3 linked regions of the Sus scrofa genome follow. The protein of the gene in region 1 purifies or fractionates together with the protein of each later gene. This does not show direct contact. Links are inferred from orthologs where the notes say so. Each region holds a gene or a part of one and is shown on either strand. Other genes may lie near its edges. The genes, in order: MYCBP2, FBXO45 and FBXW7.

Region 1 (3,655 bases):
GTCAATGATCCTAAGTTTCCCTAAGTCCTACAACCGTAATTAGGGATTAAGAAGAAGAGAAAGGAGATAAAGAATCAAGAAAGAGAAGAAAAAAGAAAAAAAAGAGAGAGAAAGGTGAAGCTGAAAGCTATACATATGTGTAGAGTAGCAGGCAATTAATAATAAAAAATTACACTTCTCAATAAGGGATGTAAGCTACAGGTTAGTTGTTTTGTGTTATTCCAAGATACAATTTGTTTTTGTAATTAAGAACAGCTGACCTGGTACATAAATCAATAATAATTATATATTATTCCTGTTATAAAAGCTGACCTTTAATATCAACCATGTGGAGCTGGTTGATATTATGATCATTAAAAGACATTTTTATAAGGTTCACCCTTACCATTAACAGTATATCCAGAACAAAAGAAAAATACCTTCTCCCTTGCAGCAGCCTGTTTTTCACGGAGGTATTTTTCTCTGCAGCGGTCACAGACAAGATACCACGTGCTCCCCCCTATGCCGCCATCACCACAGTTACCGGCCCATCCGCCACAGAAATGCCCAATGCTGTTGTAACCTTGCCCACCAGCATACCGGCCACAACCTTGAAATGAGAATACAAATAAATACTTAACACTTTAAGTGTCCTTAAGAGTCTGATCCTTGCCACATAAATGAAGACTTTTCTTCTCCAAGGGAAATACTGAAGCAAACATCTAACTTCCTATTTTCCCCCAGGCTGTTACTTATACCAGGAAAATTGCAGGCATGATCAAAAAGCAATCAATTAAATGATGCCTAAAATACTGAAGATACTCTACACGGGCAGATGAAGAGAAACACAAGATGTGGGTACATTTAGATTTCTCTAAATATGCCCAAAAAATTGGACAAAGGAGTATAAAATATTCCATAAGAATGATATATTTTATAAAGCATGTATTTTATAAAAGGTTCAGTGTAATATGTAGGGATAGAAAAACATTTGCCCAAATTTATAATAGGTAAATTTTGGAATACGAATCAATTGTTATAGAAATAGTTACATTTGGAGTTCCCGTTGTGGCTCAGTGAACCTGACTGGTATCTATGAGGACGCGGGTCTGATCCCTGGTCTCACTCAGTGGATTAAGGATCTGGCATAGCCGTGAGCTGTGGTGTAGGTTACAGATGAGGCTTGGATCCTGAGCTGCTGTGGCTGTGGTGAAGGTCGGCAGCTACAGCTTCGATTGGACCCCTAGCCTGGGAACCTACATATGCCAAGGGCGCAGCCCTAAAAAGACAAAAAAATGACACACACACAAAAAGAAATAGTTACATTTATCTAAAATACTGTCTTCTGATGAAACAGTTTTCTTTTCCACAGGAAAATACCCAAGGAAGCCAATCTAATCTAATCTAATTTACAATTCTGAACGGGAAAACAACACAACCAGAGAAGACCTAATGTTAGGATACTCCCTATGTGTGTGGACATGTCAACATTCTATTTTGTGAGACATCTTAATAGCATCCTTTGGGTAACACATAAACCATTTCAAAAGGAAACAAAATTTTAGACTGTAATACTTTAAAATGAAATAGTATTAAACTGGCTTACACACTATTAGAATTCTTTTACCTATCTTCCACAAAACCTATGTTGATAATGCGTTTACTTTTTATTTTTTAATTTTTTTTGTCTTTTAGGGCCGCACTCATGGCATATAAAAGTTCTCAGGCTAGGAGTTGAATCGGAGCTGCAGTTGCTGGCCTATGCCACAGCACAGCAATGCCAGATCTGAGCCGAGTGAGTCTGACTTTATGCTGCAACTCACGGCAACGCCAGATCCTTTAATCCAGGGGGAGGCCAGGGATCAAACCCCCATCTTCCTTGATCCTAGTTGGAGTCTTAACCTGCTGAGCCACAACAGGAACTCCTGATAACACACTTTGAAATCACATTATAAGTTCCCAATGTTGCTCAGCATTTTAAAGACTCAACGTTGTCTCTGTGAGGATGCAGACTCAGTCCCTGGCCTCGCTCAGTGGGTTATGGATCTGGGATTGCCACAAGCTGTGGCACAGGTCGTAGATGCAGCTCAGATGCTCTGTTGATGTGTGGCTGTGGTGTAGGCCTCAGCTGCAGCTTCCATGCGATCCCAGAAACTTCCATATGCTGCAGGTGTGGCCGTAAAGAGATAAAGGAAAAAAAAGAAAGAAAAAAAAATCACATTATAAGATACTATTAATTCTGGGCAACAGCTTCCCTGTATCTTAGGGTAATTCATGGAATAACTTAAGTCAGATGTGACCCAACTCATTTTTTACACAAAGTACTTACAAACACACAGCAGCATCGCTTACCAGGGTGGGCCTGCCTCATGTGGTATGTCACCGGGTAGGGATGCGACTCTCCGCACAGCTCACAGATGGTATCTTTCTCCGGTCCTCCTACTGCCAGCTGGGCCATCTCACCAAACAAATTACCCCTCGGCCGAACTTCAGTCTTTTCTTTCTTCTTTTTTTCTTTTTTGGCCTTTTTATTCTCTTTCTCACACTCTTTCTTTTTAAGGACTGCACATGAACCAGGGCTTGGAAAAATCATATTCTGGGAAGCTGCTTTGATAGTAGCCAAAGAGATGTCTTCCCAAAAAGCCACTAAATGCTGCAGAGTTAAGGGAAGAGGAGATTTAGACTTCATTGGGTGATGCACGGACATTTCGAAAGTGGCCTCAGTTTTCCCATCTTCACACTTTTCATGCAGAGGAGGTTCCTTAAGCATAGACAATACCTTATTTTTGTTGATACTACCCATTTTAGATATATCTGGTCCATGAGGTGCAATATTAAACATATTCAGCGCAGATGATATTTCCAATGAGTGTCTATTTTTCAATTTGGTTTCCTTTTCCTCGGTAGGCTGCTGGCTGTTTAAACTACTTCTTATGGGGGCATGCTCTTTGGAAAGCTCAGGGTTAAATTTTAAGAAGGAGGAACAAGCCATGGCGTCATGCACTATGCCCTCGTGCCACAGGAAAGAGGCAAAGACCGCCCTGGCACACTCAGCCACGGAAGGAGACATGGCTTGCTTGGCGGGCTCTAAAGGTTTGGATCCATCTCCTTTGAAGAGAAAGCTAGATTTTTCCTTCTTGGGCCTGGTGTGCCTATTAGCACATTTTCGACTTATTTTGGGGGATGCTCTCATTTCCTGTTCATCTTTCAGTGGTGCTTTTCCTATACTGAAATGCACTTTATTTGAACCTTCATCCACGCTCTTAAACTCACTGCTTTCATCACAGGTGCTGTCTGTGACACTATTTGTTTTTAAAGTACTGGAAGTGCAGACTTCGACCACCTCACTGTGGAGGTTTTCCTGCACCACGTGGGGAGAAGGCGCTCTATTTTCAGATCCGGGGGACTCTTTAGAATCCTTTGGTACTGGTTTTGGTTTTGGCGATGTTGACCGTCCCCTTAATGGTTCAGTGAGGGGCATCTTCTTCTTGCGGAGGGTGTCTGGATCAAGGGTGTAAGAGTCTGATTTGGAGCGTTCCCGAGGAGGGTCGAGTTTCGTCTTCACGGGAGCAGCGCTTTTCTGAGGTAGATTTTTATCATGCGGTGAGGAGGAGCGCGGAGAACTGGCGCCAGATGGGCTAGACCTACTGGCTGGGAGAGTCTTTGGCTTAGGGGA
Region 2 (3,291 bases), on another chromosome or scaffold:
AGCAATTCCTTTGCCCTGTTTTGTTTTGTTTTTTACAGTTGTTTTTTTTTTACACACATATTGTATATACAACTTTTAAAATAGCTGCACAATTTTATATCTCACTGTTAGAGAAGTGCAGTCCAGGGAGACCATGCTTCTCAATATATTAAAAATATTAAATAAAATCCAACCAGTTTCATACTTTTCTAATAGTCAAGCTGGCTGGAAAAAAGGGTCTGGAGAAAAAACAGGCAGTTGTAAAACAGGATCAGTCTTCCTTCACAAACATACTACTTAAAACTCTCACTATTTCCTTAGCTTATCCCTTTTATACCATCTCTAAGATCTCACCTTAAAAGCTGGAAATACATCGCTAACTTAGAGACAAAATCTGTTGCAACATGCATATGTCAACTGCCCACTCAACCAACTGCAACCCTGAGGATTTTTCTGGCCCAGTAGAAAGGGGAAACACTAAGATAATTTCTGCTGTAGAGTTGCTTCTCCAGTTAACAATATCATGTGTTTTTCAGGATGTTTCTTGGGCATGCATGTATGACACTGTCACTTAATGATTCTACTTTCCACAAGCAGATAACTCCTCCACTCTGTCTTTCATCCCAAGAAAGCCACTGTCATCCATCCAAAGGTTTTCCAAGGTAAACCAAAGTCACTTCTGTGTTGCCATATACAGCAGAAACTGCTGGATATAAGCAGACCTTTGGAAGTCCTCTAAAGGCAACTCCCAGGAACTCATATCCACGTTCAAAAGCTAAAGTCTTATCTTCCATGTCCAAGATGACTCGAATTCTTTCTCCTATCTGTGAAAAAGACATCAAAAGAAGGTTAGAAGAAAACCCATTAAAGGCATAGTGAGAAGAAATAAACAAGTTGAAGATATTATGAAGAATATATATATCTCGGAGTTCCTGTCATGGTTCAACGGTTAATGAATCTGACTAGCACCCATGAGGATGCAGGTTTGATCCCTGGCCTTGCTCAGTGGGTTAAGGATCTGGTACTGTTGTGAGCTGTGATGTAGGTTGCAGACACAGCTTGGACCCTGCATTGCTGTGGCTTTTGCATTGGCAGCTACAGCTCCGAGTGGATCCCTAGCCTGGAAACCTCCATATGCCACAGGTGTGGCCCTTAAAAAAAAAAAAGATATATATATATATCTCAAAAGTTGTCTAGGAAAAAATAAAAGTTTTTCCACCAGGAGAAACATTTAGAAAAAGAATATACATTAATTTCATCACAAATCCCTGTGTTGATTTTTTTTTTAACTTAAGACTTATGTGGGATGGATCTACCTATCTATCTAAATATTTTTTTATGGTTGTACTTGTGGCATATGGAAAGTTCCAGGCCAGGGGTTGGATCCAAGACACAGCGGTGACCTATGCCACCACTGTGGCAACACCGGATCCTTTAATCCACTGCACAGGGCCAGGGAGCCAACCTGCACCTTAGCAGTGACCTGAGACACTGCAGTCAGATTCTTAACCCACTGCACTACAGTGGGAACTCTGGGATCTATATTTAATACTGGAAAATTTAAATATTCCTCCTTAACAGTCCCCAGATTTTATTTACTCTTTTTTGGGGGCTGTGTCTGTGACATGTGGAAGTTCCTGGGCCAGGAATCAAGCCCAAGCCACATCAGTGACAACACTGGATCCTTAATAGGTAGGCTACTAGGGAACTCCCTTTATTTACTCATTTTAAAGGCTTTTTCTTAAGAAGCTTATCACTAAACTCTAAAATTTGGTCTATTTTACCAATAAAAGCTATCTAGGTTTTCTCAAATTACTACAGTACATGCATACAATAGAATGTTATTCAACCTTGAAAAGAAATGAAATTTTAATATGTGCTACAACATGAAAGGACTTTGAAAAAATTATGCTAAGAGAAATAAGCTAGACACAAAAATACAAATATCATATGATTCCACTTATATCAAGCACCTGGAATATTCAAATTCATATAGACAGAAAACTGACAGATGTTACCAGAAACTGAGGGGGAGGGAGAAATGTGGAATTATTGTTCAGTGAGCACAGAGTTTATGCTGGGGATAATGGAAAAGTTTAGGGTGTATATACAACAAAGTTTTGGGTGATGGTTGCACAACATTGTGAATATATTTAATGCCACTAAATTATTCACTTACAAACAGTTAAAATAATAAATACTGTTGTGTATATTTTACCACAATAAAAAAATTAACTGTGGGGAGGTCCCATCATGGCGCAGCGGAAACGAAATCCAACTAGTATCCATGAGGTTGAGGGTTCAATCCCTGGTCTCGCTCAGTGGGTTAAGAATCTGACAACAACAACAACAACAACAACAACAACAACAACAAAAAAGACAAAACACACACACACAAAAAAAGGAGTTCCCGTCGTGGCGCAGTGGTTAACGAATCTGACTAGGAACCATGAGGTGGCGGGTTCGGTCCCTGCCCTTGCTCAGTGGGTTAACGATCCGGCGTTGCCGTGAGCTGTGATGTAGGTTGCAGACGCGGCTCGGATCCCGAGTTGCTGTGGCTCTGGCGTAGGCCGGTGGCTACAGCTCCGATTCAACCTCTAGCCTGGGAACCTCCATATGCCGCGGGAGCGGCCCAAGAAATAGCAACAACAACAACAAAACAACAACAAAAAAGACAAAAGACAAAAAAAAAAAAAAAAAGAATCTGGCATTGCCGTGAGCTGTGGTATAGGTCACAGACATGGCTTGGACCCACGTTGCTGTGGCTGTGGCTGTAGTGTAGCCCCTCAACTGCAGCTCCGATTAGACCTCTAGCCTGGGAACTTCCATATGCTGCAGATGCGGCCTTAAAAAGCAAAAAAATAAATAAATAAAAATAAATTAACTGTAATAAAACACTTACATAGCCTTTAAAATTAACAAAGCTATTCTTATTCAACAGCCTAGTGTGGTCTACTACTCTGAAAGACCTGTTATAAAATAAGCAGCACTGACCATTAAACTAAACTAGAAGGACAATTATCCAGTTCTTTCCCCATTTGGAAAAGGAAGTAAAGAAATAGGATGCTTTGGAGTTCCCATTGTGGCTCAATGGATTAAGAACCTGATATAGTATCTGTGAGGATGAGGATTCAATCCCTGGCCTTGCTCAGATCCGGCATTGCCGAGAGCTGCGGCGTAGGTCACAGATGTGGCTCAGATCCAGCATTGCTGTGGCTGGCAGCTGCAGCTCCGATTCAAACCCTAGCCTGGGAACTTCCATATGCTGGGGATGTGACCCTAAAAAAAGAAAAAAAAAAAAAAAAAAGTTGT
Region 3 (3,655 bases), on another chromosome or scaffold:
ATTAGAAGTGGCATTCTGATAACAAAACCAAAGTATATATAGTACCTCTTCTCCAGCTTCCCAGCTATACCCCAGGTCGATAAATACCTACCCGTTCCCAGATCTATAATAATGTTGCTACCTCTTTTCTCAATCTAATAGTTTATTTAAATGAGATTATTTTATTCATTATGGGTCTGAGCATATCACAAAACATAAACACAATTGCAGCCTATTCCCTCTCCTCCAAATTCATAAACTTTTCTAAGTTAACAGATATCTTTACTATATGTCAATATTTCGTGACATAGATAGTAATCCAACAGTTAAGACACAAATACCCCAAGAAAAGAACTGTGAGCCTTGGGACTACAGATGAATTTGCTGATCACTAATGGGTAGTAACTGGTAAAGAAACTACATGTAAGGAATAGGTAACACAGCTGACCCTTGCTTGAACAAGTTGAGTTTGAACTGCAAAGGTCCATGCTTACACTCAAATTTCTTTCACTAAACACCTACTACAAGACTACACAATTGGAGATTACTTGGATTCTTGGATGCGGACGTGCAGATACCGAGGGCCAGGTGTAAAGTTGCGTAAGGGTATCCGACTGCAGTTGAGGGTAGGTGGGGGTGAGGTCGGCGCCCCTGAGTCCCATGATGTTCAAGGGTCAGCTATATTTTTGAACTGAAAGTTTTGTCTTTTAGGACCTGAAACAAGACCCATTTGCTAAGCTTGCTATGCATCTAGTTATTTATGGCAAAATATGGCAATCTATTCTGGGATATCAGGTTCAAATGAAAACAAAATCAAAAATCAGTTTCATTAAATTTACTTCCTCATGACTACAAACCAGCGGCCCTGTGATGGTAGCACAGCTCTGAGCAGAAAGCTCTGCTTCTGCCCTGAATGGAGTGGCAATTACAAGGTCCATCAACTTCCAGCTATCAAGGCAAAAAGGGCAGCTTTTGGCCAAATTAATCCTCTGCTAAGGAGTTTATTAAAATCCACGTTATTCTCCTGTGAGACTATGTACCCATTAATTAATACAGCAAAATTTAGGGCCCCAAAGGCTCAGGTTCCAAGACAAAATATTTGTGTTTTAGAAGGAAATGAATCATGGAAAAATGGAAACAAATCATTTCAGTCATCTCAAAATGTCTGCTTTTTCCTGCCAATGTTAAGGTAAAGGTAAAGAGAATAATTCAACTGGGCTTTTTCTGGGCTGTACTGGACCAGCAGCGTGCAGTGGCCATCAAGGTGAGGCAAGCTGCCGCCGCATCACTAGGCACTCAGGAGCGGGAGGTGGGTCTCCTACCTGTAACGAGTAGACCCTGTTGGTGTGCCCCTGCAACGTGTGCAGGCAGGTCTCCGTCTCGGGGTCCCACACTTTCACCATGAAGTCATACGCTCCGCTCACAACCCTCCTGCCGTCGTACTGGACACAGCGGACCGCTGCCACGTGACCCATCAAAACGTGTAAACACTGGCCTGTCTCAATATCCCAAACCCTAAGAGTGGCATCGCGAGAACCACTAACAACTCTGCAGGGAGAAACGGAAAAGAAGGCAGCAGCATTTTAATAACACGGGAAAACCGGATATATGAAGTCAGGGGGGATGAAAACTTTTCTCCTTTTTTAAGCAGCAACACTTGCGTTCAAAAGGAACACACGCTAGATAAAACCAACCTTGCTATATAAACCTCTACAGGCTGAGTGACTCTGGTGGGGACAGGCAGTTGGAAAGCCTAGACTCCTGCCTGTTGGGTTCCCCCACTGCTTGAGGGCTCCAGGAGCAGCTTAGGGTCCCATGGAACAGTGTGAAAATGACTGTACTGTAATTAGCAAAGACAAAGAGGAAGAAGAGGAAAAAGAAGTCAGAGAAAGTAAATAAACAGCAGCAGGAGTAGCAGAAGCAGCCAGTTCTGAATACATACAAGCAGATCTTGATGTTAGAAATAAAATGCTGAGGTGGGCAACATGCGTAAAATGTTAATGGGTGGTAGTTGTCTGAAAAATTGACATTTTCTTTATTCTTTCTGCCATGTCCCCAAATTTTAATAATGAACACATACTTCCTTTGCGATCAGGGAAAAATTTCAACAAAACACATCGGAATTTGGCATTTAAAAAGCTAAAGATATGTGCTTTACACCACATACTCTGGTCAAATTAACCAGTCTTCAACATATCCTCAAACAAAGGCTGCTTTTATGCTTATATTTAAAACTAGTCAATAGGCCAGGGAAAGCATTAAGATATACAGATTACAGGAGTTCCCGTCGTGGTGCAGTGGTTAACGAATCCGACTAGGAACCATGAGGTTGCGGGTTCAATCTCTGCCCTTGCTCAGTGGGTTGACGGCGTTGCCATGAGCTGTGGTGTAGGTTGCAGATGCGGCTCGGATCCCACATTGCTGTGGCTCTGACGTAGGCCAGTGACTATAGCTCCGATTAGACCCCTAGCCTGGGAACCTCCATATGCCACGAGAGCGGCCCAAGAAATGGTAAAAAAAAAAAAAGATATACAGATTACAGAAGAAACGTAGGTAGAGGCAACAGAAATCCCTTAAAAATCATCCCAACATTATTAAACTGATACTCTTCTGAGAACCAGACTGATAGAAATACTCCAGTTACCTTTGGATTACAAAGGCAAGCTGAAAACTCAGGCGAATTTACATCATTCCAAATAGGTAAAGAGTTTCCAGGTTTGGAAGAGTAGAAAATGGAAGCACTGAGAGACTGAAGTCAGAAACTACTGGCAACTGAAATGCAAGGTCTCTGGATACCAATCCCCCCAGTTTTAACAGCAGCGTGCACTGTTCAGAGCAGATTCAAATTACATGTGAAAAGGTACTTTTCTTCACATATTACAAATCTAGAGTGAAATCTGCTTAATGTAATGGTTCTTAATAAGGAAGATGCTACGGACAGAATTAACGGTGACGACTGGAGTGGCTTCACTCTAAGGACCCTTCAGAGAGACCTCTTCCGACAAATGGGACAGAAATCACATCTGTTTAACAGGAGTACCATGCATACGAACAGGAGACAGAAGGGACTTGCACAGGGAAGCTTTGCAGGAGGAGATAAAAGCAACAGCGAAGGTGCTGAGAAGAAAAAGGCAAGCGGTCTGGTTCGGCTGAAACTATTTTGGAAACCGGATTGAGGGTTTCTTTGTTAATTCGGTCAGCAGTGATACGACGGTAATTAGAGGAGGTTCTGTGTAAGAGTCTGAACGCTATGTCCATAGTTTGGGTGATAGGTAAGGAGAATAAGTTAATCCCACAGGCCTCGGTTTCTGCCTGAGACGACCCAGTTTATGACCGAGTCGGGGCAGGGCAGGTGGGTAAGTAAAGACTCAGAGGCTTGAAGACTGAATAACTGAATTTGTCCTACTTCCAGAAATATACGCTCCGTCCAATTTTTTTTTTTTTTTTATGATGATGCATCATCCAAGATTTAGAAAAATTAAGTAAGGTATTAGTCAAGATTAGAGAATAGAGAGGTTCAAGGGGAAGGCCAAGAACACTGTTAAATGAGGAAGGAAGCGTAAAGCAACTGCCCGATTTTAAGGCAAGACACCATGGTTTTCCTGGCAGAGAACATCTGAAGTTGACTAATTAACATCTAATTTAAGAGCACGTTATCACTGTCTATTAGACACAG

The links.
Region 2: the proteins of MYCBP2 (region 1) and FBXO45 purify together in Homo sapiens (affinity purification with western blotting; 7 studies listed by BioGRID and IntAct, with this or other methods). This does not show direct contact. The link is inferred for Sus scrofa from reciprocal best matches to the Homo sapiens genes MYCBP2 and FBXO45.
Region 3: the proteins of MYCBP2 (region 1) and FBXW7 purify together in Homo sapiens (affinity purification with mass spectrometry; 6 studies listed by BioGRID and IntAct, counting the BioPlex papers as one, with this or other methods). This does not show direct contact. The link is inferred for Sus scrofa from reciprocal best matches to the Homo sapiens genes MYCBP2 and FBXW7.

What each region holds. Positions count from the first base shown.
Region 1 is NC_010453.5:49,216,301-49,219,955, forward strand, and holds part of MYCBP2 (E3 ubiquitin-protein ligase MYCBP2), read right to left. Parts: coding exon 2,332-3,655; intron 590-2,331; coding exon 420-589; intron 1-419. UniProt on the Homo sapiens protein: Atypical E3 ubiquitin-protein ligase which specifically mediates ubiquitination of threonine and serine residues on target proteins, instead of ubiquitinating lysine residues.
Region 2 is NC_010455.5:133,547,417-133,550,707, forward strand, and holds part of FBXO45 (F-box/SPRY domain-containing protein 1), read right to left. Parts: intron 804-3,291; coding exon 618-803; 3' UTR 1-617. UniProt on the Homo sapiens protein: Component of E3 ubiquitin ligase complex consisting of FBXO45, MYCBP2 and SKP1. Functions in substrate recognition but also plays an important role in assembly of the complex.
Region 3 is NC_010450.4:76,691,405-76,695,059, reverse strand, and holds part of FBXW7 (F-box/WD repeat-containing protein 7), read right to left. Parts: intron 1,528-3,655; coding exon 1,302-1,527; intron 1-1,301. UniProt on the Homo sapiens protein: Substrate recognition component of a SCF (SKP1-CUL1-F-box protein) E3 ubiquitin-protein ligase complex which mediates the ubiquitination and subsequent proteasomal degradation of target proteins.